Linked DNA regions of Anolis sagrei. The protein of the gene in region 4 interacts with the protein of the main gene of each other region in a biochemical or structural test. Links are inferred from orthologs where the notes say so. Each region holds a gene or a part of one and is shown on either strand. Other genes may lie near its edges. The genes, in order: FBL, FUS, BTG2 and PRMT1.

The links.
Region 1: of the proteins of PRMT1 (region 4) and FBL, one has a biochemical effect on the other in vitro, tested with the Homo sapiens proteins (2 studies listed by BioGRID). The link is inferred for Anolis sagrei from reciprocal best matches to the Homo sapiens genes PRMT1 and FBL.
Region 2: of the proteins of PRMT1 (region 4) and FUS, one has a biochemical effect on the other in vitro, tested with the Homo sapiens proteins (3 studies listed by BioGRID). The link is inferred for Anolis sagrei from reciprocal best matches to the Homo sapiens genes PRMT1 and FUS.
Region 3: the proteins of PRMT1 (region 4) and BTG2 form a complex in vitro, tested with the Homo sapiens proteins (2 studies listed by BioGRID). The link is inferred for Anolis sagrei from reciprocal best matches to the Homo sapiens genes PRMT1 and BTG2.

What each region holds. Positions count from the first base shown.
Region 1 is NC_090034.1:87,654,760-87,661,601, forward strand, and holds the start of FBL (rRNA 2'-O-methyltransferase fibrillarin), read right to left. Parts: upstream 3,022-6,842; 5' UTR 2,907-3,021; coding exon 2,897-2,906; intron 2,781-2,896; coding exon 2,694-2,780; intron 1-2,693.
Region 2 is NC_090026.1:14,969,957-14,977,821, forward strand, and holds the start of FUS (RNA-binding protein FUS), read left to right. Parts: upstream 1-4,854; 5' UTR 4,855-4,946; coding exon 4,947-4,959; intron 4,960-7,865. UniProt on the Homo sapiens protein: DNA/RNA-binding protein that plays a role in various cellular processes such as transcription regulation, RNA splicing, RNA transport, DNA repair and damage response. Binds to ssRNA containing the consensus sequence 5'-AGGUAA-3'.
Region 3 is NC_090024.1:191,488,815-191,496,058, reverse strand, and holds the start of BTG2 (protein BTG2), read right to left. Parts: upstream 3,011-7,244; 5' UTR 2,832-3,010; coding exon 2,657-2,831; intron 1-2,656. UniProt on the Homo sapiens protein: Anti-proliferative protein; the function is mediated by association with deadenylase subunits of the CCR4-NOT complex. Activates mRNA deadenylation in a CNOT6 and CNOT7-dependent manner. In vitro can inhibit deadenylase activity of CNOT7 and CNOT8.
Region 4 is NC_090026.1:22,288,994-22,295,898, reverse strand, and holds the start of PRMT1 (protein arginine N-methyltransferase 1), read right to left. Parts: upstream 3,004-6,905; 5' UTR 2,919-3,003; coding exon 2,889-2,918; intron 1-2,888. UniProt on the Homo sapiens protein: Arginine methyltransferase that methylates (mono and asymmetric dimethylation) the guanidino nitrogens of arginyl residues present in proteins such as ESR1, histone H2, H3 and H4, FMR1, ILF3, HNRNPA1, HNRNPD, NFATC2IP, SUPT5H, TAF15, EWS, HABP4, SERBP1, RBM15, FOXO1, CHTOP, MAP3K5/ASK1, MICU1 and NPRL2.

The DNA.
Region 1 (6,842 bases), on a different chromosome or scaffold from region 4:
CTATGGAGATTTTTAAAACAGAAACTGGATAGTCATCTGCCGGGGGTGCTTTGATTGGGTGTTCCTGCATGGCAAGGGGTGGGAATGGATGGCTCTTGTGATCTCTTCCAACTCCAATTATTCAATGCTTTAAAACACATATAATTCCAATACCACTAAAAATTTAAATTAAATTCGCATTTGCAGTAGCATTTGCAAGGAAGCAAGACTGAGAGCAGGCCTTCCCAGACGATCTTAATCTCTGAGGTGGTTCATAGAGAGAGATATGATCGGACAGGTAAGCTGGAACTGTTTAGAGCTTTATACGCTAAAGCCAGCACTTTGAATTATGGTTGGTAGCAGACTGGCAGCCAGTGGAGCTGGTGCAACAATATTCTCCTCAAACAATTTGGAACCTTGGGGTAGCTTCTTAAGCTTGTCCAAATAGCACAAAGAATATCCTGATTCCAGAAATCTTATCTTCCCTAAATATCAGCTAACTCAAGCATGGACAAAGTTGAAGTCCAAAACACCAAACAGGTGTTTTGGACTACAACTCCCATAATTCGTAACAGCCTACCCTTACGAAATGTGGGAGTTGAAGTCCAAAACACCTGGCGGGCCTAAGTTTGCCCATGCCTGAGCAAGTTGTTGTTCAGATGGAGCTATGAATTCACAAGTGTTTTTCTTTTTCCATGTTCTCAATCTTTTGTCATTTTTGAAAAAACTAGGACACAATGGAGAAATAGCTTCAAATGGCAGACAAAAACCTAACTACCTTCGTGACTGCATTTCCTTCCACGAACCTACACAACCCCTTCGATCTTCCGGAGGGCCCTTCTCTTGCTCCCGCCTCCATCGCAAGCGCGACTTGTGGGGATGAGGAAAAGGGCCTTGTCTATAGTGGCCCCTCGGCTTTGGAACTCGCTCCCCGGAGAAATTAGGCAAGCGCCCACCCTGGCAGTCTTCAGGAAGAGCCTAAAAACTTGGCTGTTCCAGTGTGCCTTCAATGAATGATCAACAATCCCTGACCTTGACCAAACCCTGCATAAAATGCCCTCGGATGCACTTTATTTTATCCTCCTGGAACACCTCAGCAAACGAGAGTTCAAAAGTGGCAGGCTCAAACCCAGCACCTCAATCCATGGGTGATACCAGATGAGAGACTCCCCCCTGGGTACACAGAAGACTGGGCGACTTGGAAGGCGCTGAACAGACTGCGCTCTGGCACCACGAGATGCAGAGACAATCTTAAGAAATGGGGCTAAAAAGTTGAATCCACGACATGCGAGTGTGGAGAGGAGCAAACCACAGACGACCTGCTGCAATGCAACCTGAGCCCTGCCACATGCACGATGGAGGACCTTCTTGTGGCAACACCAGAGGCACTCCAAGTGGCCAGATACTGGTCAAAGGACATTTAATCAGCTACCAAGTTTGCAAAATTTGTGTTTTTTTTATCTGTTTGTTTGTTTTGTCCTGTTAGAAATGTAATACAATGTTCTGGTTGCAGATGACACGATAAATAAATATCCTCCAGTGCAATTAAACCCCATTGTTTCGTCCCATCAGATCCTCCTTCCAGATACACTACACTGCTCATCCCACCCAGTGTTTTAAATCTTTTTAACTTTGCAACTGGCCCTGCCCACTGTGCCCAATTATTGTGCTTTTAATTTGCACCGTGTGTGTTACTTTGTAATGCTTCTTGTATTTTATTTTCATTATATTTTTACTGTTGTATTTTTATGTTGTATACTTGCACTGTTGTAATTGTTGGGCTTGGCCTCATGGAAGCCGCCTCGAGTCCCCTTGGGGAGATGGTGGCGGGGTATAAAGTTTTATAATAATAATAATAATAATAATAACACGAGGAAGAACTTTCTGCCGGTTACTGCTCCTACTACAAACTTGGGAGTAATCCAAAAAAGGAACTTCTGGCAGCTTCTTGTATTTTATTTTCATTATAGTATTTTTATGTTGTATATTTGCACTGTTGTAATTGTTGGGCTTAGCCTCATGTAAGGCGCCCCGAGTCCCCTTGGGGAGATGGTGGCGGGGTATAAAGTTTCCAAGTTACCTATCCGATCGCATCTCCACCTACAAACCCACTAGGACTTTGAGATCTTCCGGGGAGGCCCTGCTCTCGATCCCGCCTGCAACACAGGCACGGCTGGCGGGTACGAGAGACAGGGCCTTCTCGGTGGTGGCCCCTCGGCTGTGAAATGCCCTTCCCACGGACATTAGATTGGCTCCCTCTTTGATGGTTTTCCGGGGAAAAGTGAAAACCTGGCTATTTGAACAGGCGCTTGAATAAGCAGTGCAATGACTTCAGGAAATGGAACCACGACTGACGAGTTTGGATCATGATTGTAGTTATGAGGCACCACTTGAATGTTTATTACTGTTAAATTGTTTAATTTGTTTCTGTGTTAATTGTTTTTAAGTATCTTGTTGATGCCGCATTGAATTTTTGCCTGATTGTTTGCCTTGTTCTTGCTTGATTGTTGTAAACCGCCATGAGTCGCCTTAGGGCTGAGAATAGCGGTATACAAATGAAGTAAATACATAATTAATAAATAAAGAAGAAGAAGAAGAATTAAACACGAGGAAGAACTTTCTGCAGGTTTCTGCGCCTACTACAAACTTGGGAGTAATCCAAAAAAGGAACTTCTGGCAGCTTGGACTGAAAATAAACCGAGCGTGAAACCCACCTCGACCTCCTCGGAAGCCTCCGCGTCCACGATCCCCGAAGCCGCCGCGTCCTCCGCGGTCCCCACGTCCCCCGCGAGGGCTGAAACCTGCAGGACGAGCACAAGGTAGACGTCAGGCCGGGCTCCGGGCGGCCTCTCGGGCCCTCCCTCCCTCCCTCCGGCCTTAAGGGCTCCCCTCCTTCCTTCCCTCTCCTCGCTCTCACCGGGCCTCATCTTGCTTGCCGATCACAGACCGCACGAACGCCACACGCGCCTGAAATTCCAAGACCGGAAGTGCAAGCACGCAGAGCCCCACGCGCTCAGGATCCCTTGGCGCACCGGAAGTGCGTGAGCAGGCCGGGGAGGGGGCGGGGTAACGTAAGCCCGCCTCAACTGACGTCGAGCATTCTACGCATGCGCTGTGCGGGCTTTCAATTCCAGGCCTTTTCGCTGCCGTTTGCTTGTTGAAGTCGGCGCCATCTTTGTTCCGTTTCCAGCTGGAAGGTCAGATTAGGCCCATGGCTGTTTGTGTCTGCTCTGGCGCTTCTGTGAATACAAGGCGCCTCCACAGAGAAATGGAAAACTGTAGCGACATTTACAAAATGTCCGTTATTATAATAACTTTGGCTAGTTTCACTATCTGAGGGGGAGGCCACAAGGAGGCGCCAGAGAGAGAGAGAAGGAGAACCCATTTTCCAAGGGAGGGAGGGGCTGAAGGAGTGAAACCATTTCCTCGTTTTCCTGTTAATTCTCCCCACCCATGCTGCCATTTTGGAAACAACCAGCGCTTATGATATTGGAAAAGAAGGGATAACCAGAGAAAATGGAGAAAAAGAGCTGAACAAGTTCCTGGACCACCTCAGCAGCATCCACCCAAACATCCAATTCACTATGGAAAAAGAAAATGAAGGAAAACTGCCATTTCTAAATGTCATAGTAGTTATCTGCAAATTATTATTATTTTATTATTATTATTAAACTTTATTTGTACCCCGCTAGCATCTCCCGAAGGACTCGATGCGGCTTACAAAGGCCAAGGCCTCAACGCACAATACAACAATACAAACCAAAGGCAAATTAAAAACAATTAAAGCAATATAAATAAACAACAAGCAATAAACAATACACTAAGACACAATAAAACTGGGCCGGGCCAGAGTAATGGGTACAGGATTAAAAGTGCTGATGTGACAGGTGGTATATAAGGCTTATAGGGCAAGTGCAGTGTGCAGTAATCTTAGTTTTAATAAAGTGCTTCTGGGACTTGGTATTGGAGATTTCCTATTCTGGGAAGGCACATCGGAACAGCCAGGTCTTCAGGTTCTTTCTAAAGACTGCCAGTGTAGGGACCTGTCTAAGATCTTTGGGGAGGGTGTTCCAGAGTCGGGGGGCCACCACAGAAAAGGCCCTGTCTCGTGTCCCCACCAAACGCGCTTGCGACGCAGGCGGGATCATAAGCAGGGCCTCTCCAGCTGACCGAAGTGAGGGCGTGGGTTTGTAGACGGAGATGCGGTCACGCAGGTAGGATGGTCCCAAACCGTTCAGGGCTTTGTAGGTAAGCACCTGCACCTTAAATTGGGCTCAGAAAATAAACGGCAGCCAGTGGATCTCCTTGAACAGGAGGGTTGACCTCTCTCTGTAAGGGGCCCCAGTTAACATCCTGGCCGCTGCTCGTTGGACCAGTTGGAACTTCCGAGCCGTTTTCAAGGGCAGCCCCACGTAGAGCGCATTGCAGTAGTCCAATCTAGAGGTGACCAAGGCATGGACCACCCCGGCCAGATCAGCCTTCGCGAGGTACGGTTGCAAACCCAATCAATAGTTGAGTCACAGAGTTTACAGAAAACCCACACATATTGATGTTGTTGCTTATTTGTTCAGTCGCTTCCGACTCTTTGTGACCTCATGGACCAGCCTGTCAGCCGTCACCACCCCCAGTTCCTTCAGTCAAGCCAGTCACTTCAAGGATACCATCCATCCATCTTGCCCTTGATTGGCCCCTCTTCCTTTTTCCTTCCATTTTCCTCATTTCTATGAGTTCTATCTCATGGGGTTCAACATGCTCTTTGATTGTAGGTGAACTATAAATCCCAGTAACTACAACTCCCAAATGTCAAGGTCTATTTCCCCCAAACTCCATCTGTGTTCATATTTGGGCATATGGAATATTCGTGCCAAGTTTGGTCCAGATCCATCATTGTTTGAGTCCACAGTGCTCTCTGGATGGAGGTGAACTACAACTCCCAAACTCAAGGTCAATGCCCACCAAACCCTTCTAGTGTTTTCTGTTGGTCGTGGGAGTTTTGTGTGCCACGTTTGGTTCAATTCCACCATTGGTGGAGTTCAGAATGCTCTTTGATTGTAAGTAAACTATAAATCCCAGCAACTATAACTCCCAAATGATAAGCTCAATTTTTTGAGTGGTGGTCACTCATTGGCCTGATAGGTGTCTTGTGTTCAAATTTGGTGTCAATTCGTCCAGTGGTTTTTGAGTTAAGTTAATCCCACAAACGAACATTACATTTTTATTTATATAGAAGATATTGGGGAGAACTGGAGCTAAAGAGGCAGAGCAAGCAGGCAAATAAGTGTCATATCATTCAGAGGACCTCAAATCCTGAAATAATTAAACCATGGCTTCCAGAGTGTGACGGAGTATTTGTTGCCCCACTGCAGGAAGCACGATCAATACCAAGTGCTAGCACATATATTAATTTTGTTGTTGTTTATTTGTTCAGTTGCTTTCGACTCTTCGTGACCTCATGGACCAGCCCATGCCAGAGCTCCCTGTTGGCCGTCACCACCTCCAGCTCCTTCAGAGTCAAGCCAGTCACTTTAAGGATACCATCCATTCATCTTGCCCTTGGTTGGCCCCTCTTCCTTTTTCCTTCCATTTTCCCAGCATCATGATCTTCTCCAAGCTTTCCTCTCCTCTCCTTATGTGGCCAAAGTACTTCATCTTTGCCTCTAATATCCTTCCCTCCAGTGAGCAGTTGGAAGTATGGACTGGTTGGATCTTCTCGCGGTCCAAGGCACTCTCAGAACTTTCCTCCAACACCACAGTTCAAAAGCATCTATCTTCCTTCTATCAGCCTTCCTTATGGTCCAGCTCTCACATCCGTAGGTTACTACAGGGTATACCATTGCTTTAACTATGTGGATCTTGGTTGCCAGCGTGATGTCTCTACTCTTCACTATTTTATTGAGATTGGTCATTGCTTTCCTCCCAAGAAGTAAACGTCTTCTGATTTCCTGGCTGCAGTCTGCATCTGCAGTAATCTTTGCACCTAGAAATACAAAGTCTGTCACTGTCTCCACGTTTTCTCCCTCTATTTGCCATTTATCAATCAGTCCAGTTGCCAAAATCACACACAGATAGATACCTATATAAATACTCCAACCATCACCCAAGTCAAAAAAGAAGTGAAGGTGCACCGATGGGGGGGGGGGAGGGGGCACTCCAAATGCCCAAACTTAGGGGAGTTAATGTCAGGGGACAACCTTTACCTTTTACCTACACTTTTTAAAGTCTTTATAAACTTAAAATAAACCCTCCCCACACATATACACTACATAATCCTTTCCCTTAATAACCTTTCCCACACTGTTCTGTACAGTACATGTACTGTACCTGTTTCTTTTAAAACACTCCTGAATCTTCCGCATGGGTAGCTGTGCATGAGGTTTCCTCCTCCTCCCCCCCTTCCCCCGGGGCTCCCCGTACCTGCCTCCCTGTCAGTGCGGTGGCAAAGAAGGAAAGAAAGCAAGCCCTCCTCACCTTTCCCTTCACCAGGTGAAGAGAGAGAACGCAGGAAGGAAAGGCCCTTCAAGGGAGAAAGGACCGAGGAGGGAAAGTGTGTTGGAGAGCGAAGGCAGCAAAAACCCATGAAACAGCAAAAATACCGCGATATATATTTTAAATTAATATTTATTGAAAAACCGCAAAACAGCGAGTCCGCTAAAAGCAAACCGCGAAGTAGCGAGAGAACACTGTATCGACAAACATGCACATAGGAATGCAATCAAAGGTTTGTCTGCAGAGCTTTTATCATTTTTGGCATACACATTCTCATTGGTTCCCACAGACAAATCATTTCATTGGTCTAAGCTAGCTTTACAGCTGCTCATTGGTTGTTTATGATTTTGATTGACATATTATCACATGTGGGACCC
Region 2 (7,865 bases), about 7.3 Mb from region 4:
GACCCCCCCCCCCCCCCGGGCGGTTGAGAAGAGCAGGGTAAAAATGCTATAAATAAATAAATAGCTGACCTCTAGTTAGAACATTCCAGTTAGAACAGTGGTTCTTAACCTGTGGGCCATGGATCACCATTGAGCTGCGAGGACGAAAATCTGGTCTACGAGCCTCCTTCCTCTTTCTTTTATTTTATTTGTTTTAAAATATTATTTTATTTCCGCCATTTTTGTGCCACTTGCCACTCCTTCCCTGTTGCTGACCATGGTATATGTTCTACATCAGAAACTAGAACTGATGTGGTCTATCCAATGCAATTTTCTGAATCAGCACCCCAAACTGAATCTAAAGTTTACCAAAAAGTGATTCGTAACGCTGTTGGTACTAATGTTGGAGAGTGATCCCTGGTCAAAGTGGTCCCTGGTCAAAAAAAGGTTGGGAACCACTGAGTTACAACAACTTAGGGAACTGGGCATGTTTAGCCTGAAGAAGAGAAGGCTGAGAGGAGATATGATAGCCATGTATAAATATGTGAGAGGAAGCCACAGGGAGGAGGGAGCAAGCTTGTTTTCTGCTTCCTTGGAGACTAGGACGCGGAACAATGGCTTCAAACTACAAGAGAGGAGATTCCATCTGAACATTAGGAAGAACTTCCTGACTGTGAGAGCCGTTCAGCAGTGGAACTCTCTGCCCTGGAGTGTGGTGGAGGCTCCTTCTTTGGAAGCTTTTAAGCAGAGGCTGGATGGCCATTTGTCAGGGGTGATTTGAATGCAATATTCCTGCTTCTTGGCAGGGGGTTGGACTGGATGGCCCATGAGGTCTCTTCCAACTCTTTGATTCTATGATTCTATGAACTTAACTTTGATTTTGTTTTAATAGTTCTCAGCCTGTGGGTCCCCAGGTGGTTTGGCCTACAACTCCCAGAAATTCCAGTCAGTTTACCAGCTGTTAGGATTCCCCTTCAGGAGAGATAAAGCTCAAGGGCCAGGCTTCCCAGTTCTCTGTGTCTATGCCACAGTTTTTAAGGTTGGCTTTAAGCCCATCTTTAACTCTCTTTTCCTGTCCACCAACATTCCATTTTCCATTCTTGAGTTGGGAGTATAGTACCTGCTTTGGGCATTCAGACAACATGGCCAGTCCAGCGAAATTGTTGCTGTTGTTGTTGTTATTATTATTTGATACAAACCAAAATTAGTACACAGCAAACAAGATTACTATACTGGCTTTTGTATTAGATCACATGCCGGACACTTCCCAAGTGTCTAGGATTGTGTGATGTATCGGCTAATAATGCATGCAGATGCCAGTAGGGTGGCCTTTTGCAGCTGACAGATGGTAATTTTTATCAGCGCTGATTGTTTTTAAGTGCAGGCCAAGGTCTTTAGCTACTGCACTCAGTATGCTGATCACCCCTGGGATCACCTTTACTGGCTTGTGCCAGAGTCTTTGCAGTTATTTAAATCCTCATATCTAAGCTTTTCCAGTTGCTTCTCATCAATCCTGCTGTCGCCTGGGATGATGATGATTATATCAAAACTCTAGAAGGTGCTTATCCTTGTATGGCATACAGTACAGATTCAAGTGTAAAATCTAGTTTGTGAAATATTAATGCCTCCATTTATTCAGTGGGGGCCAATTACTTCCTTTGAAACACAAGTTCTTTATCCAGAAATCTGAAAGATGCTGCAAAATTGTCCACATGGGTGGCTTCTGTTGATTCAGTGTACACCAGCTTTATATTAAGGCACAAAATTATTAAATTATAAATAGAAAATTATCTTCAGACTATTTATGCAAAGTGTATATTAAACATAAATGAATTTTGATTTTAGTCTTGAGTCCCATCTCCAATATATCTCATGAAATCTATCTATCTAGCTATCTGGGAATGAAAACTGAAATCAAAAATACTTTTGGTCCAAAGCATTTCGTTAGGATTTTACCTGTTAATTTTAATTAATACCATTGATGTTTCTATTTCTGTACCATCAGTCGAGGGGCCCTCCCCCCAGCACCAACTGCTGCTCTGGGGTTAGAGTGAGGAGGGGAGGCCAGGAAGACAGTTCCACCTTATCTCCTGTGCCCTCATTTGGGGGCTCTTCCCCCCAGCAACAATATAGTACTATATATTTAAACTGCTGAGCTGCTGAACTTGATCGAAAGGTCGCAGGTGCAAATCCGGGGAGTGGTGTGAGCTCCTGCTGTTAGCCTCAGCTTCTTGCAACCTAGCAGTTCGAAAACATGCAAATGTGAGTTGATCAATAGGTACTACTCTGGCAGAAAGGTAATGGTGCTCCATGCAGTCATTCCGGCCACATGACCTTGGAGGTGTCTATAGACAACGCCGACTCTTCGGCTTACACATGGAGATGAGCAACAACCCCCAGAGTCGGACACAACTAGACTTAATATCGGGGGGAACCTTTACCTTTACTTTATAATCACCAAGGACTGGGAAGCCCTGGCATTTTGGCACTAGTCAGCTGCAAGGGTGCTATGGATTTTGATGGGGAAGGGAAACAGGGTTTCTTGCAGCCAGGAAATCAGAAGATATTTACTTCTTGGGAGGAGAGCAATGACCAAAATTGATAAAATAATAAAGAGTAGAGACATCACACTGGCAACAAAGATCCACATAGATAATGCAATGGTATTCCCCGTAGTAACCTATGGATGTGAGAGCTGAACCATAAGGAAGACTGAGCAAAAGTAGATGCTTTTGAGCTGTAGTGAGGAAAATTCTAAGAGTGCCTTGGACTGTAAGAAGATCCAACCAGTCCATCCTCCAGGAAACAAAGCCCGACTGCTCATTGGAGGGAAGGATACTAGAGGCAAAGTTGAAGTACTTTGGCCACATCATGAGGAGACAGGAAAGCCTAGAGAAGACAATGATGCTGGGGAAAGTGGAAGGTAAAAGGAAGAGGGGCCGACCAAGGGCAAGATGGATGGATGGCATCTTTGAAGTGACTGGACTGACCTTGAAGGAGCTGGGGGTGGTGACGGCCGACAGGGAGCTCTGGCATGGGCTGGTCCATGAGGTCACAAAGAGTCGGAAATGACTGAACGAATGAACAACAATAATAAAATACAATAATATTACTTATATATTATATATTACGTGTAACATTACTAATGATATTACAGTATAGTGGCATAGTACAATATAGTAATATATAATGCCAATATTGTGCTAGGCTAATAATATAAGACACTAGCTGTCCCCTGCCACGCGTTGCTGTGGCCCAGTCTGGTGATCTGGATATGAAGTAATGAGAATGTGTTGGTTTCTAATATATGTAATGTCTTTATGCTTGAGGGTAAACAGTATTTCTCGTTGTTTCTTTGCCAGTGTTGATGTGGAGATTGTCTGGTTTGCCTACTCTGGAACATGTAACATATCATTGTCCTTCTTTAGGGGTCCCTTTCAAATCTTTGATACTGCATCTGTCATATACATATATGTGTGTGTGTGAATGGCTGGATGGCCCTTTGTCAGGAGGCTTTGTTTTGTTGCCCTGGTGAAGGGAGCTGGGCTGGATGACCTTAAGGCAGCATTTCTCAACCTGGGAAGTCAATACACCCGGGGGGGGGGGGGGTCACCAGGGGGGTGTCAGAAGGGTCCCCAAAGACCACCAGGAAACACAGTATTTCCTGTCGGTCATGGGGGTTTTGTGTGGGATGTTTGGCCCAATTCCATCGTTGGTGAGGTTTGAAATGCTCCTTGATTGTAGGTGAACTATAAATCCCAGTAACTACAACTCCCAAATGTCAAGGTTTATTTCCCCCAAACTCCATCTGTGTTTATATTTGGGCATATTGAGTATTCATGCCAAATTTGGTCCAGATCCATCATTGTTTGAGTCCACAGTGCCTTGTGGATATAGGTGAACTACAACTCCCAAACTCAAGGTCAATGCTCTCCAAACCCTTCCAGTATTTTCTGTTGGTCATGGGAGTTCTGTGGTTCAATTCTATCGTTGGTGGAGTTCAGAATGCTCTTTGATTGTAGCTGAGCTATAAATCCCAGCAACTACAACTCCCAAATGACAAAATCGTAATTTTTGATTGATGGTCACTCCTTGTGTAGTGAGACATTTTGTTGCCAAATTTGGTGTGATTTCGCTCATTGGTTCTTTTCTTTTTATGGTACGCATTATGCACAGAGCATTTATATAGATAGATAGATAGATAGATAGATAGATAGTATGTACATATAAGCGCTCTGAATCCTCTTCGGGGTGAGAGGGGGCAGGGGATAAATATAGTAAATAAATAAATATTTTAATGTTTGTATATTTTTGGATTTTAATTGGTGCTGAGATTCTTTTCATAGAATCATTGAGCTGGAAGAGACCTCGTGGGCCATTTAGACCAACCCCCCTGCTAAGAAGCAGGAAAAGAATGTAGTGTAAACGGGCTGCAAATAACAACAACAATATAGGAGTCGTTAAATATATTATAATCCACTGGAGAAAATGTCTTGTTTGTCTTCAGAAGCAATTTCCCATTTATTTATTTATTTTGCTTCTTCCTTTTCTGACCCCCTTCTTTGCCAATTTGGTTGCTTCCAGTCTTCCTCTGTGAGCTCACCCTAACCTCCGTTCTATATGGACTGTACCATTTCAGTGCGGTAGGGGGGGGGTTGGAATCCCATTCTGTTGGAAACCAGTCCCGTGAATTAACCTCGCCTGTTAATTATTTAAATCAATGATTGATATTAGCTTGGGATTCTTTGGGAGGAGATGGCGGCGAGTTGTTCAGTTTAGTGGGGAGAGGAAACGATGTCTATTCTCGGCTCTCCCCCCACAAACTAACATGGTTCGGCCTAAAGGCTGAATGGGAGGGGGAAGTATATAAAGGAAAGAGCGGGCTGGGAAAGCGCTCGGAGGCAAGGAGACGGGAAGGAAGGTTGCTTTTGGCCGCTTTGGGGGGAGACTTGGAGGGGTCTACAGCAATGGCGTCTAACGGTGAGGAAGAGGATACAAAAGGGTGTAATATATTGAATTTTGTAGCGGGTGCAATGCTTGAATCCAGAGTGGAGCCATTGAATCAGCGAGTTTGACTCACCAGGAGGAATTAAGATTCAATGGTTGTATTCTTGGTTCTGATAAACTAAAACTAAAGATTGCAATGGGGTTGGAATAGGATTTTCAAAGGGATTGGGTCTCCTAGGATGTGTTTTCCCTTTCTCTGGGGGTTACACGATTCCTTTACATGCATAGATCTTTATTGCGAAATAGATTGGGTATTGTATTGTCGAAGGCTTTCATGGCTGGAATCAATAGGTTCTTGTGGGTTTTTTCGGGCTATATGGTCATGTTCTAGAGGCATTTTCTCCTGACGTTTCGCCTGCATCTATGGCAAGCATCCTCAGAGGTAGTGAGGTCTGATAGAACTAGGACAATGGGTTTATATATCTGTGGGAAGACCAGGGTGAGGCAAAGAACTCTTGTCTGCTGGAGCTAGGTGTGACTGTTTCAACTGACCACCTTCATTAGCATTTGAAGGCCTGGCTGAGCCTGGGAGAATCTTTTGTTGAGAGGTGAAACATTCACACCTAGCTCCAGCAGAGAAGAGCTCTTGGCCCCACCCCAGTCACCCCACCCTCTGGCCATATAGCCCGAAAAAACGCACAAGAACAGATTGGGTATTATTACAACGGAGGCCATTTTGTACCCCATTTGAATAGGGTGACTTCCATTTTACGGAGCGAAAGGCCCCTTAAATAGCGGTTTCATATGGAAATAGTATTATGGTTGGGTTTATATACTAAGGGGTAATATTCGGAGGCCATGCCGGTCGCTTTTGGCTGTCTAGAAGGAAGAGATCTTGAACTGCGCCATTATTCGCCGCCATTTTGTGCCAGCGTGAGAACTAGGCCACGAGGAGGGGCAGTTCCGCTCTGGAAGGAGCGCGAGGGAGGGCTGGGCTTTTATAGGGAGGGGAAGGAGACGGGGCTCCCCATGGCAACGACACACGGGCAGTGTTCGGCAGCTGCGCATGCGCGAGTGAACACGCTGAGGGGGAGGAATAGACAATGGAAAAGTACTCGAGGTGTGTGCCGGCGTTTCAGATGCTTAGTTAGGAGAGGAAGGAGCGGCGCGCGCATGCGCTGGGGAAAGAAAAGCTTGCGCATGCGTATACAAGGCTGTTTGTCGCAGTGTTACATCCGGGCCCTTGCCCTTCCCCATTCCTTTGGAACGTTGTCCACCCCGTTGAGTCATTCTCTTCACCGCCCACGAGCTCAACTGTCATTTTTTTTGCCCTCTTCGCGGGATCCGCGCATGCGCAGGAAGCCCCTTTGACTTCTCATTTAAAGCGCTGATGGTTCTGATTCCAGCTCTTCTATTCTTTGTTACCTCAGCAGCCTCTACTTGTGTGGGGGCGACTTCTCATACACACAGACACATATATATAAATAACTCTGGAGGCCCATGGGTGGGTTTGCTTCTTTTTACAGCATTTCCTGATCCATAATGTGTCTAGATCTAGGGAAGTCATGCTACCCATGCTCTATTCTGCTTTGGTTAGACCACACCTGGAATATTGTGTCAAATTCTGGGCACCACAATTCAAGAGAGATATTGACAAGCTGGAATGTGTCCAGAGGAGAGCGACTAAAATGATAAAGGGTCTGGAGAACAAGCCCTATGAGGAGCGGCTTAAGGAGCTGGGCATGTTTATCCTGAAGAAGAGAAGGCTGAGAGGGGATATGATAGCAATATATAAATATGTGAGAGGAAGCCACAGGGAGGAGGGAGCAAGCTTGTTTTCTGCTGGCCTGGAGGCTAGGACGCGGAACAATGGCTTCAAACTACAAGAGAGGAGATTCCATCTGAACATGAGGAAGAACTTCCTGACTGTGAGAGCCGTTCAGCAGTGGAACTCTCTGCCCCAGAGTGTGGTGGAGGCTCCTTCTTTGAAAGCTTTTAAACAGAGGCTGGATGGCCATCTGTCAGGGGTGATTTGAATGCAATATTCCTACTTCTTGGCAGGGGGTTGGACTGGATGGCCCATGAGGTCTCTTCCAACTCTTTGATTCTATGATTCTATAATACAATGTAATTTTTTCTCCTCCCCAATGAAGGCGTTCATAGAGCAGCCATGGCCAAACTTAGGCCCTCCATGTGTTTTGGACTTCAACTCCCACCATTCCTAACAGCCTCAAGCCCTTTCCTTTTACCCCCTCAGATGAGGCTGTTAGGAATGATGGGAGTTGAAGTCCAAAACATCTGGAGGGCCCAAGTTTGGCCATGACTGTTCTAGAAAAAGCTATAGTTGTGACTCAAGGGGAAAGATGTTGATTTTGTCTTCCTGCACAAAGGCAGTGTATCTGTTTTGTAGAAATTGGATTAGGATAATTATTTATTATTTACTTCATTTATATACCGCTTTTCTCAGCCCTCAGGCGACTCAAAGCGGTTAACAACAGCAAAATTCAATGCAAAAACATCACAAAACAAATATGGGACAGTTAAAACAGTAGCATCATCAACGATAAAACATCAATATAACAATCATTAGTATCTCATCAGTAAAATCCGAATCCAATCTCATCATCCATTATTCCATATTCCTATATTCAATTATACTGCTTAATCAAATGCCTGCTCGAACATGCCTCAGGCCTCTGTGAATTTTCCTGTCCTCCATTTGTGTGTGCGCTTGTTTATGTTTGTTTATTCTATTTTGGTAGAATGTTGTGACTTGTCCCCGAGACACACAGAACAAATAATGTGGTGGAACAAGAGGGACTTGTGTAGCTTCTCTTCCTAGCTGTCTGGCCTCATTTACACTGCTATATAATGCAGTTTAATTGTGTTGAGCTGCATGATGTGAGTCTACGCTACCCATATAATGCAATTTCAAGCTG
Region 3 (7,244 bases), on a different chromosome or scaffold from region 4:
CTGGGCAATGTCATTGCAGATGGCCAATTGTCTCACACCTGAAGCAACTTGCAGTTTCTCAAGTTGCTCCTGATATGGAAAAAAAATCTGATGCTGCTATAAACCATCATGGTGAGACACTTAAGAATTCTTTGTTACAGACTCCTAGTACTCCAAGTCATAGGAATGCAGTAATACGCTTTTACAGAAAATTCTAAGTGCCCCACTAAACTTCAGATCCCAAGCTACTAGACAATGAAGCCATAGCAGTTAATAGTAGTGCCAAACTTCAGTTACTTGGTAGTAGAGATGTACTTGTACAAGTCTGGGCTCGAAGAACCCAGGAGGCATTAACCAGAGAGCTACCATGATTACTGAAAGCTCCTTAGCAGACAATGCCATTAGCATACAGCCTTTGCAATCCACTCCTGTACCTCAACTCAACATACCACTCTATTGTGTCATGAGTTGTGCTTAGAAAATCTCTTAAACTGTATTAAACTGGGTTGCTGTGAGTTTTCTGGGCTGTATGGCCATGTTCCAGAAGCATTCCCTCCTGACGTTTCGCCCACATCTATGGCAAGCATCCTCAGAGGTTGTGAGGCATATTGGAAACTAAGCAAGGCTTTGCAATGCTAATCAAGGTGATCAATTGCAACATTCACACTTGCTACAAACAGAAAAGAGTTCTTTCTCCCACCCTGGACATAAACTTCCCTTGCTTAGTTTCCAACAAACCTCACAACCTCTGTGGATGCCTGCCATAGATGTAGATGAAACTTCAGGAGAGAATGCTTCTGGAACATGGCCATACAGTCCAGAAAACTCACAGCAACCCAATAATTCCAGCCATGAAAGCCTTCATTGTATTATCGAATAAAATATTAGATTCAGAGAGCCCATAGTTATAAACAACAGGAAGAAATGGCTGCCTGATGTTAAACACTGGTGAATTCAACCAGGCTTACATCTAGAGACAAAGGATGGAGCTATGAGGAAACTATATTTTCGACAGCACAAACACTCACTTCAGCACTGAATAATACACCTTGAGGAAGTTGCAAGACCAGACTTGCCTGTAATATAAGACACTTAAGCAAATTATCAAAAGGCTTTGTGACACCTTTAAGAGGAACAGATTGATTTCAGGATGTACTTGTGAGCCACGGAAATCCCTTCTGAAATAAATCTCAGAGCTCTGGCGGTGCCACAAGACTATGTGTTGATATCCTAGAATAGACAAGCTCAGCTGCCCCTTCTTCCAAGGTCCTTTGCTGCTGGTCGATTCAGACAAAGCCATTGGGTTCCCTGATTTGGGGGTTTCAAATGTCCTCAATCTCATGGTTCTCTAGTTCAGCATTTCCCAACCTGGGGATTGTGAGGGAGTATCAGAGAGGTCACTAAAGACCATCAGAAAATGCAGTATTTTCTGTTACTTATGGGAGTCCTGTGTGCCAAGTTTGGTTTAATTCCATTGTTGATGGAGTTCAGAATGCCTTTTGATGGTAGGTGAACTATAAATCCCAGCAACTACAGCTCTCAAATGTCATGGTCTATTTCCCCCGAACTCCATCAGTGTTCAGATTTGGGCATACTGAGTATCTGTGACGGGTTTGGATCAGATCCATCATTGTTTGGGTTCACAGTGCTCTCTGGATGCAGATGAACTACAACTCCAAAACTCAAGGTCAATGCCCACCAAACCCTTCCAGTATTTTGTGTTGGTCACTGAAGTTCTGAGTGCCAAGTCTGGTTCAATTCCATCATTGGTGGAGTTCAGAATGCTTTTATTGGAGGTGAACTATGAATCCCAGCAACTACAACTCCCAAATGACAAAATCAACCTCCCCCCACAAAACAGGTCTATGCCCACCAAACATTTCCAGTATTTTCTGTTGGTCACAGTAGTTCTGTGTGCCAAGTTTGGTTCAATTCCATTGTTGGTGGAGTTCAGAATGCTCTTCGATTGTAGGCAAACTATCAATCCCAGCAACTACAACTCCCAAATGACAAAAAATCAATCCCCACTAGTATTTAAATTTAGGTGTATCGGGTATTGGTGCCAAATTTGGCCCAGTGAATGAAAATACACCCTCCAGATCAGATATTGACACGACGATCCATAATAGTAGCAGAATTATAGTTACAAAGTAGCAACTAAAATAATTTTATGGTTGGGGAGGGAGGTCACCACAACAGGAGGAACTGTATCAAGGGGTTGCGGCATTGGGAAGGTTGAGAAACAGTGTGCGGGTTGATTCGGACAAAGCCACTGGGTTCCTGGATTGGGGGGTTTCAAATGTCCTCAAAAGCTCATGGTCAGTCCTCCTACTGTGGTTTGCAACAGTGCTTGGGAGGACTTTGTGCCATGGCTTGCCTCTTGGAGAAGAACAAAGAAGACTCGCAGAACAAAGGGTGCATCTCTACTAGGCATGGGCCAACTTGGGCCTTCCCTCCAGGTGCCTTGGACTTCAAGTCCCATCATTCCTAACAGCCTCAGGCCCTTTCCTTTCCCCCCTCAGCCGCTTAAGCGGCTGAGGGGGGAAAGGAAGGGGCCTGAGGCTGTTAGGAATGATGGGACTTGAAGTCCAAAGCACCTGGAAGGAGGGCCCAAGTTGGCCCCTGTCCAACCTACACTGTGGATGTGGCTCTCGAGATCCCCTCTCCCCTCCCTCACCTGTGAGCGCCTCTTCCAGAGCCCCGCTGAACACCTGGAGCTGCTGCTCGCTCACGCAGCCTCGGGTCCGGAGCAGGCTGGACACGAAGCCCACGGCAGCGGCGATCTCGGGCACCATGTCCGCCCGGCTGCAGCTGGTCACGCAGCTCCCACTCCAACGCTGGGTTTGGCTCATGATTGCTTTCGTTTAGCAAGATTCAAGGAATGGGACGGATTGTTTTCCTCTCTCTTTGTTTCAGGGCGGCCCCTTTAAGACGGCGCTGTTGCTTCTCCTTCTCGTTCTTCTCCGGAGAAGGCGCCCTTCGCGTCCGCCGCTCTCCCCCTCCCTTAACTCGTCCAGCTCTGGCTCCGTGCGGGACTCTTAATACGCTTGGACCAGGCAGGCGTCACCGGCGAAGCGAGCTCCTGATTGGCCGAGCGCTCGCTGGATATGCTAATGAAGTTGTGACCTCAGCAGGGTGGAAGTTGTGACGTCGGTACTCGGAAAGTCAGGCTCCGGGAACATGGTCAGAGCAGCTGGGGTGAGGAGAGGGAGGAGGGGGAGGAGGCCTTCTGCAATGGGGCTATTTATAGGGCTTTGCCTAGTAGGGGAGCTGCAGGATCAAGAGGAAAGGGAGAGAGAGAGAATAGGGGTTGGTTGGCTGGAAGAAAGGAAACACAGTTAGCAAAACAACCTGGGAAAATCTGCTTGTTTTGACCAGATCTGTGTCCCATTCAGCAAAATATAACACTAACTGGGTTGTTGTAGGTTTTTTCGGGCTATATGACCATGGTCTAGAGGCATTCTCTCCTGATGTTTCGCCTGCATCTATGGCAAGCATCCTCAGAGGTAGTGAGGTCTGTTGGAACTAGGAAAATGGGTTTATATATCTGTGGAAAGACCAGGGTGGGACAAAGGACTCTTGTCTGCTGGAGCTAAGTGAGGCACCTGTTTTCTTTGGTAGAAAAGGCTAAAGACTTTGGAAAACTACAACTCCCAGGATTTCACAGCTTTGAGCCATGATTGTTATATTTATATCCCACTTTTCTCTCTTAAACAAAACTCAAAGCCGCTCACATGAAAAAATACTATTTAAAACCAACAACATATAATGATCAAAATAGAATTAAACAGAATGTTTAAAAACCAATAGTTAAAATCCCATCAAACCAGTAAAAAATAATTAAAGCACCACAACTCCCATGAATCCATCAAATTGAGTGGTATCTCCACTGTAGAATTCTTGCAGTTTGACTCCACTTTATCTGATATGAGTAAATAATAATAATAATAATAATAATATATTTATAACCCACCCTCTCTCCCCAAAGGTCTCAGGGCAGTTTACAAAAATGACAAAAATGCAAACATTCAAGGCCCCAAAACTGATAACATATAAACAACAGTCAGGGCAAGGCAAATGCTAAGGGAGTTCTCATTTAGTGAGGCACCAGCTTTAAAGACCTTTATTATTTGCGAATAAAAGGTCTGGGCCAACCATGGCAAATGACCAGCTCACTAGAAAGATAGTGATCTCGGTCACCAGACTCCCCAGATTGTTGTTTACCAGGCAGGTATGCACCTTGTGGGGAAAGCAAAAATAAATTTATAAATGCAGCAAAACAAAAGGTATAGTCTGTTGATTTACTCGGAAGATGGGGTCATGATGAAGCTAAAGTGGACACATGACCAGCAGAGAGCCAGCATAGTGTGGTAGCTTGAGTGTTAAGATACTGCTAAGGAAACCAGGATTTGAATTTCCACTTAGCTATGGAATCCCGCTTGGTGACCTTGGGCAAGTCACATTCTCTCAGCTTCAAGTATGAGATATTTAGAATTTTCTGCCAGGGAGGTCAAGCAATTGACCACCACCAAGCTGCAGATACCAGGATTCTACACAGCCACAGTAATTGAAGTGGCATGAAAATGATACACAGACAGTACCCGAGTTACAAACATCCAACTTACAAACAACTCATAGTTAAGAACTGGGGTGAGACAACAAGAAGTGAGAGCAATCTACCCCTCAGAAGAGAAATTCACTTCTGTAAATAGTTATCATGGGCAAAAGGTGTCTCCATTAAAGCTTTCTCACCAATTCTTCTTTCCACAACAAGCCACGTTTTTCAAAATCGAATTATCACAGGGACAGAAGGTGAGGTGAAATCTTCTGAACAGGGGCACAGACGGCAAAACAAACACCACAGGGATGTTAATCCTTCCCTATGCTACCCAAAGCTAGAATAGATGGATGGATGGATGGATGGGCGGGTGGGCGAGCGGGCAGGCAGGCGTTACACTTAAAAATGTACTTGATCTTACAGAACCTATCTTGTTCATAACTTGGGGATTGCCTATAACTGTGTACTGTAAAAGAGATCTAGACCACTGGGAGTTGCATTTAGAAGGGGCTACAAGACACTTTCTCTTGCTAAACTTAAGAGCAGCCCAACATTTACATACATTGTTTGGCTGTGCCACCATTCAAAATAACACTTGGCCTTTTGTATCAATGTAAGAAACCACCCATGGCTTAATCTTTAAGAAATCCAAAAAGCAAACATTTTACAATCTTGTATACAGAAGGTCATTTTAGTATAACATTAAATTTTTGAAACCATGGATTTGGATATCCACGGAGGTCCAAACCAAACCCCAGCAGATATCAAGGGCCCACTGTATGCATGTTGTTGTTTAGTCACTTCCTACTCTTTGTGACCTCATGGATCAACCCACGCCAGAGCTCCCTGTCGGCCGTCACCACCCCCAGCTCCTTTAAGGTCAATCCAGTCACTCCAAGGATGCCATCCATCCATCTTGCCCTTGGTCGGCCCCTCTTCCTTTTTCCTTCCATTTTTCCCATCATCATTGTCTTCTCTAAGCTTTCCTAAGCTTTTCTGGATCAGCCCACGCCAGAGCTCCCTGTCAGCCGTCACCACCCCCAGCTCCTTCAAGGTCAAACCAGTGACTTCAAGGGTAACAACCATCCGTCTTGTCCTTGGTTGGCCCCTTTTCCTTTTTCCTTCCATATCGCTCAGCCTTCCTTATGGTCCAGCTCTCACATCCATAGATTTCTATGAGGAATACCATTGCTTTAACTATGCGGATGTTCATTGCCAGTGTGATGTCTCTACTCTTAATTATTTTATTGAGATTGGTCATTGCTCTCCTCCCAAGAAGTAAACGTCTTCTGATTTCCTGGCTGCAATCTGCATCTGCAATAATCTTTGTTCCTAGAAATACAAAATCTGTCAGTGCCTCCATGTTTTCTCCCTCTGTTTGCCAGTTATCAAATCAGTCTGGTTGCCACAATCTTGACTTTTTTATATTTAACTGCAACCCAGCTTTTGCACTTTCTTCTTTCAACTTGGTTATAAGGCTCCTCCGTTCCTCCTCGCTTTCAGCTATCAAAGTGGTATCATCTTCATATCTGAGGTTCGTAATGTTTCATCCAGCAATTTTAACTCCAGCCTTGGATTCTTCAGGCGCCGCACTGAAGATGCATTCTGTATACAAGTTGAATAGGTTGAGTGGGAGTATACAACCTGCCGTACGCCTTTCCCAATCTTGAATCAGTCTGTTGTTCCATGGTCTGTTCTTACTGTTGCTACTTGGTCGTTATACAGATTCCTCAGGAGACAGACAGGAGATGGACAAGGTGGCTTGGTATCCCCATACCACCAAGCATTTACCACTGTGTGTGGGCTTTGTATATTTATCTATGCAAAGGCCTTTATTTGTCAATGCATCACCTATTTATTCTAACTTTTACCCAAATGATTCCTTCAAATTTGAATAGTTCCCCCTCCCCACACATATACTTTTCATATTTTAAATGTTGTAATCCAGCAACGGAGTGTTTCTCTGATATACCAGGTAAGAAGAGGTTGCAATAAATGCTATACCTCTCCCCTCACTCTGCATACCAGGCCATTTTCTTTTCTTTTTCAATTATATGCTTGCAAGTCATGTGCTTTTGAACACGTCCACAGTTTCTCAAACCCCCATCTTCTTGGTATAAATAGGCACAATCAACTAAACAGCCATGTATTGTGAAACCTTGCATGACTTCCTCCAGGTGACTGGGAGGAAGAGAGACAAAACCAAGACATGCACACTTGTCCATGTTCTACTCAGAATTAAGTTCCTTGAATATAATGGGATTTATTCCTAACTAGATATTTACATGAATGTAAGCCTCATCAGTCCCCTGCCTCAAATTATCTCTGACATATTTGTCACCACATCTAACTCTAAAGAGAAGAGAGTTGTTTCGATCATCAGCAAGCCTTTGTAGAGACTTTTGGTATTAGAACCAGATTTAGAAACCTGAGTTTATATTTTTAGCCCTTCGATAACAGTTGGAATCTATCACGTGTGTGGGATGTGTGTAATGCTGCTGTATTAACAAAGAGGATGTCTAGTTTCAGTAAATTTTACTGAAGCTGATTTGATGAAGAGACAAGGGTGCTTCTATGACCTGTCTGTACAGATGCTCTGACTTTGATACCATGTTGAACAATCTGAATTTTGAGACACATAGAAAATGAAGCATGGAGTACTTATTTTGTTGGACTACAACTCCCAGAATGTTTCAACCATCTTGAC
Region 4 (6,905 bases):
TTTAAAGCAGAAACCCTGGGATCACATCCTGGGATATAGGTCCTGTATGGTAGGGCCCTGGGTTAGGAGTGCATACTTGCCATATAATCCAGTTCAATGTCGATTGTACAGAGCTGTGTGGAAGGAGCCTAAGAGTCTACTGCACTCTTACGGTGCTGGAGGAAAAATGGCTCCAATGAACAGGGGAAACATCCCATGCTATTCCAGGGGTGGGAGGCTTCTCTCTGGACAAAGAGCGCCATTGGGGAGACAGTGCAGACGTGCTCCACGTGTCCTTAGGTTCATCCCAATAGATGGCTGCAGGCTTGGCACAGAGAAGGGAGCATGAAGCGCTCTGGGCATCTCTATGGGGCAGAGAGCTCCAGGCGGTTTGGGGTGAGGAAAGGAAGGGGATCCGTCCACAAAAGGGGAGGAAGGAGGCGGATTTCTCGGGGCCCGGCGCGCTTTCTTCCTAGACGGGCGGGGGCGGGGCTGGACGGGCCGGAGGAGGCGGGGCCCTCCGGGGCGAGGCGTGCCATCATGCCATGCGGGGACCATGAGGAGGGAAGCAGCCGAATTGCGGAGGGAACCAGCTTTAGAGAAAAGGAGGCCGCATAATTTCATAGCACCCACTGAATATCAGAATACATATCAAATGATGAGGAAGACAAATCTGTCCTTATGAGATCAGATGATCAGGAATTGGGAAATAATAATATAATAACAAAAATGATTCCCCATTATTCCTCAGAATAATGTGGGGAGATGATCAGAAATTCGAAAATATTATATTACAATCCATCGATGTTAAATTGTAGTATTTTTGAGCCTCGTTAAGAAAATGGGATATAATAATTCATATCAATAATCATATAATAATATAATAAAAATGACTCCTCATTATTCCTCAGAATAATGTGGAGATGATCTGAAAATATACTATAATTATATGGCCTCATGTAAGCCGAGCTGGGTATAAATAAAGTTTATTATTATTATTATATAATACATATCAAGTGAGAAGGAAAAATCTGTTCCTGATAGAGATCGGATTATCAGAAATCGGGATAGAATAATAAAATAATAATACTAATTCCTCAGAATAATGTGGGGGAGATTATCTGAAAATATACTATACTATAATAATGATAATAGAGATCAAGTGAGGAGGAATTTGTTCCTGACAGAGATCAGATAATCAGAAATTGGGTTAGAATATTATTGTTATTATTCCTCATTATTTTTCAGAATAATGTGGAGATATGATCTGAAAATATCCTATAATTATGATAATACATATCAAGTAGGAAGAATCTGTTCCTTATGGAGATCAGATTATCAAAAATTGGGATAATAATAATTATTACTCCTCATTATTTCTCAGAATAATTTTGGGAGATGATCTGAAAATATCCTACAATAATGATGATACATATCAAGTGAGCAGTGTGGACTCAGGGCCCTTCCACACAGCCCTATATCCCAGAATATCAAGGCATATAATCCCACAATATCTGCTTTGAACTGGGTTATCTGAGTCCACACTCAGATACTGTGGGATTTCCTGCCTTGATATTCTGGGATATAGGGGTGTGTGTAGAAGGGCCCATTGTGGGATTTTGTCTTGATATTCTGGAATATGGAGGGGGGGAAATGTGGGGATGTAAATATAATATAATCTTTTCCTTAGAATGAGATTATCAAAAATTGGGTTATAATAACAACAAACCAGGGAAGCATCCATTCCTAATAAAAATGTGGGGATATTATCATAAACTGGGGTGTAAATATAATATTATAATAATAATCTGTTCCTTAGAATGAGATTATCAAAATTTGGGCTATAATAAAAAAAATCGGGGAAGCATCCGTTCCTTATAATAAACTGGGGTGTAAATATAATAATATTAATCTGTTCCTTAGAATGAGATTATCGAAAATTAAGATATAATAACAAGTCAGGGAAGTATGCGTTCCTAATAAAAATGTGGGGAGATTACCATAAACTAGGATGTAAATATAATATTATTATTATAATCTGTTCCTTAGAATGATATTATCAAAAATTGGGTTACAATAATAACAAAAATCAGGGAAGCATCCATTCCTAATAAAATATGGGGAGATTATAATAAACTGTAAATATAATATAATAATCTGTTTCTTAGAATGAGATTATCAAAAATTGGGCTATAATAACAAAAATCAGGGAAGCATGCGTTCCTAATAAAAATATGGGGAGATTATCATAGACTGGGATGTAAATATAATATTATAATAATAATCTGTTCCTTAGAATGAGATTACAATAAACTGGGATGTAAATCTAATATAATAATATTCTGTTCCTTAGAATGAGATTATCAAAAATTGGGCTATAATAATAACAAAAATCAGGGAAGCATGTGTTCCTAATAACAATGTGGGGAGATTATCATAAACTGGGGTGTAAATATAATATTATAATAATATGTTCCTTAGAATATTATCAAAAATTGGGTTATAATAATAACAAATCAGGGAAGCATGCGTTCCTAAAAACAATGTGGGGAAATTATCATAAACTAATAAGATATATAATAGTAATAAATCAGAAAAATCCATTCCTCATACTGATGTGGGGAGAGAAAATAAAACCTTCAGTAGGAGAAGAGGGGATTCCAATGAGACCCAAAGGCCTTTCTTTCTCTTGGAAGGAGAAGGAACCCTCGAGGATGGGGGAAAGCGCCCTGGGGTTCACTATGAGGGGCGGACAGGCCTTTGAATGGGAAGGGAGTGGGGGGTCCCTCCTTAAAGGTCCCCCCAAAGGGCCCGGGCTCGATGGGGAAGGGGTGTGTGGGGCCTGAGGCCTCCCTGGAGCCCCTTTCCCCCTTTCTCCCGCTCCCTCCACCCCTCCCACGCGCCCTCACCTCCATGATGCAGTTTGCAGCTTCCGCCATCTTGCGAATGAGACGCTGAAAGAGAGAGAGAAGCCGTCTCGCGCGCCCGCCCCCTCCCCTTTCCCCTCAACGCTCTCGTTCAGCCGAGGAGGTGGGACTCCCTCCGATTGGGTGGCTCCGCTGTCACTCCCGAGAAAGAGAAAGAGGTGGGGAAATAAGCCCCGCCTCCTTGTTTCCCATTGGTTGACGCGACACACTCTTCGACGGGATCTTCCATCAAACCGACGTTCGAATCCCATTGGGTGCTTTCCGTAAAAGAGGCGGGCTTTTTTTCTTTTAGAAACAGGCATGGGGCAAACTTCGGCCCTCCGGGTGTTTTGGACTACAACTCCCACAATTCCTAACAGCCTACCGCCTGTTAGGAATTGTGGGAGTTGTAGTCCAAACACCCGGAGGGCCGAAGTTTGCCTCATGCCTGGTTTAAGACACCCAAAGAACAGAGCGTTGTCAATCACGAACCAAGAGGCGGGCCCGTTTGTTAGTATGAAATATGATTGGTCCGGAAAAGAAACGACCACCAATTAAAAGAGGGAGGCGGGTTTTGGAGCTAATATTCCAAGATTTATTGGTGATGGAAATGCCTGTCAAAGCAAAGGGTTCCGTATTCTCAATCATCATTGGTTGCTTTGTTTCAAAGGGGTGGGACAAAGAAACGGATTTGTTAACGAAACTGACAATCAAAGAACAGAGGTTCTCTTTAGCCCCATAAACGATGCATTAATTGTCAAGAAGTACATGACAATATAAAGCTCCTTCTATACTGACCACCTGCTGCAATGCAACCTGAGCCCTGCCACATGCACAATGGGGGGCCTTCTTGCAGCAACACCAGAAGCACTCCAAGTGGCCAGATACTGGTCAAAGGACATTTAATTAACTACCAAACTCACACATTTTGTATTTTCTCTGTTTGTTTGCTTTGTTCTGTTAGAAATGTAATATAATCGACTGACTGTCCTGACACGATAAATAAATACACTGCCATGTAACCTAGGGCCCTTCGACACAACCATATAACTCAGATTATAAAACCAGATAATCCGCAAATGAACCGGATTATATATCAGTGAAGACCAATATAATGCAATTCAAAGCAGATAATCCGCATTGTCTGCTTTGAACCGGATCACATTGGTCTACACTGATATACATATAATCCAGTTCGAACCAGATAATCCGAATTATCTGTTTCGACTTGGATTATATGCGTCTACACTGACATATAATCTGGTTCAATGTAGATTATCCAAATTATCTGCTTTGAATCGGATTATATGAGTCTTCACCGACATACAATCCAGTTCAAACCAGATAATACGCATTATCTGGTTTGAACCTGATCACACGAGTCTACACTGATATATAATCCAGTTCAAATCAGAAAATTCAAATTATCTGCTTCGAACTGGATCACACGAGGCTACACAGATATAATCCAGTTCAAATGAAATAATTCAAATTATCTGTTTTAATCAGATTATATGCGTCTACACTGACATATAATCCTGTTTAAAGCAGATTATCCGAATTGCCTGCTTTGAACGGGATTATATGTCAGTGTAGACTCATATAATCCTGTTCAACGCAGATAATCCGGATTATCTGCTTTGAATCGGTTTATATGAGTCTACACTGACATATAATCCAGTTCAAAGCAGATTATCTGAATTATTTGCTTTGAATGGGATTATATGAGTCTACACTGACATATAATCCTGTTCAAAGCAGATTATCCAAGTTACCTGCTTTCAATCGGATTATACGAGTCTACACTGTCATATAATCCTGTTCAACGCAGATAATCCGAATTATCTGCTTTGAATGGGATTATGTGAGTCTACACTGATATATAATCCAGTTCAAAGCAGATTATCTGAATTACCTGCTTTGAATGGAATTATATGACTCTACACTGACATATAATCCACTTCAAAGCAGATAATCTGGATTTTATTTGGGACTATACAAGGGGCCTAACATGCTGAAGGCAGAGAAATGCCGAAAACTACAAAGCCCAAATTTCCATATAATTGAGACGTGGGAGTTGAAGCGGTATCAAACTGCATTAAGTCTACAGTGTACACTCATCACCTATCAATCTTTTTTTTTTACCCCCATTGATAGTATTCACTTAGTGTCATTAAAAAGCCTTCATTTCCTTATTGGCTGAATGGCATATCCATCATTTAGGATAAATTATTGACAAATCTGTATTGGCAGACAAACATGTCAATCCGAATTTGGAAAGGACAGTAATTTATTTCATTGGTTTGTGTTCATTCATTGCCAAGGTCAAATGTTATATGGAAGGGCATGACGTCACTCAGCGACGAAGAACAGCCTTTTCTGCTTGTGCGATCAGCTATTGGATAGATTGCCTGTCAATAAAAAAAATCCTAAAGCCTCATTGGATAATTTCCAGCCAGAGCTCTCCTAGTAAGGACAAAGTGGGTGTGCCATTCACAAACCCAGAATTCTCTCTTGAAAGCTCATTGGTTCAGTCGAGATACCATTGAGAATTTTAAGTTGCAGTGGTGAAATTCGTCTATGTGCCTAGACTCACGTCCGACTCTATAGAGAACAGGAAGGAGGTGAGAAAAAGAGATCTATACACTAGAAAAGGCACAGGCAAACTTCGACCCTCCAGGTGTTTTGGACTTCAACTCCCAAAATTCCTAACAGCCTACCGGCTGTTAGGAATTCTGGGAGTTGAAGTCCAAAACACCTGGAGGGTCGAGGTTTGTCCATGCCTGCACTAGAATCAATCAAATTTGATACCAAAGAGTGCTGGTGCTTCACTAAACTACAACTTCCAATAGGATCCCATAGCATGGAGCCAGGTCATTAAAGTGGTGTCAGACTGCATTCCTTCTACAGTGTAGATGCACCCCCTAAGGCACTGGAGAATGCATGTACAATGCAGAATGAATGAAGTTTAAACCCACTTTAACTTCCTTGGCTCCATGCTATGGGATCCTATTGGGAGCTGTAGTTTGCCATCACTCTACAATTTTTATTAGTTTGCTTCATTTACTTTATTTAAAATCAATTTGGTTAAATGTATTTATTCATTTAACGATTCTTTCCATTTTATTTGTGTATTTATTTCAATTTTATTTAACTGATTGATATTATTATTATTATTATTATCATCATCATCATCATTATTTACACCCCACTTTATCTCTTCTGAAGAGGAATCAGACTGGCATATCATAAAAGCATTATTATTATTATTATTGACACAAAGGCGCAGTATGTCACAGCAAACGAGATCCATATGCTGGATTTCGTATCACAAAATCATAAGTCAAACACTTCCCAAGGGTCTAGGGCTGTGTGATGTATTTTCGAATGATGCGCACAGATCCAAGTAAGGTGGCCTTTTGCAGTTGACAGATGGTGATTTTGTCAATGTTTATTGTTTCCAAATGCCAGCTGAGATTTTTTGGCACAGCACCCAGTGCGCCAATGACCACTGGGACCACCTGTACTAGTTTATGCCAGAGCCTTTGCAGTTCGATTTTGAGGTCTTGATAGCGGCTGAGTTTTTCCTGTTGTTTTTCACCTGGTATGGCGACATCAATAATCCTGACATTTTTCTTTTCCACAATCGTGATGTCTGGTGTATTGTGTTCCAAAACATTGTCAGTCTAGATTTGAAAGTCCCACAGTATTTTTGCATGTTCATGTTGCACGACCTTTGCGGGTTTATGATCCCACCAATTCTTTACTGCTGGCAGTTGGTACTTGTGACACAAGTTCCAGTGAATCATCTGAGAGTTGTGTCTTTGTTTGTAGTCCGTCTGTACGATTTTCTGGCAGCAGCTGAGGATATACTCAATGGTTTCATCAGCTTCCTTGCACAGACTGCATTTTGGGTCAACAGCTGATTTTTCAATTCTGGCCTTAATTGAATTTCTTCTGATGGCTTGCTCCTGGGCTGCAAGAATCAGGCCTTCTGTCTCCTTCTTCAGCCACAACCAG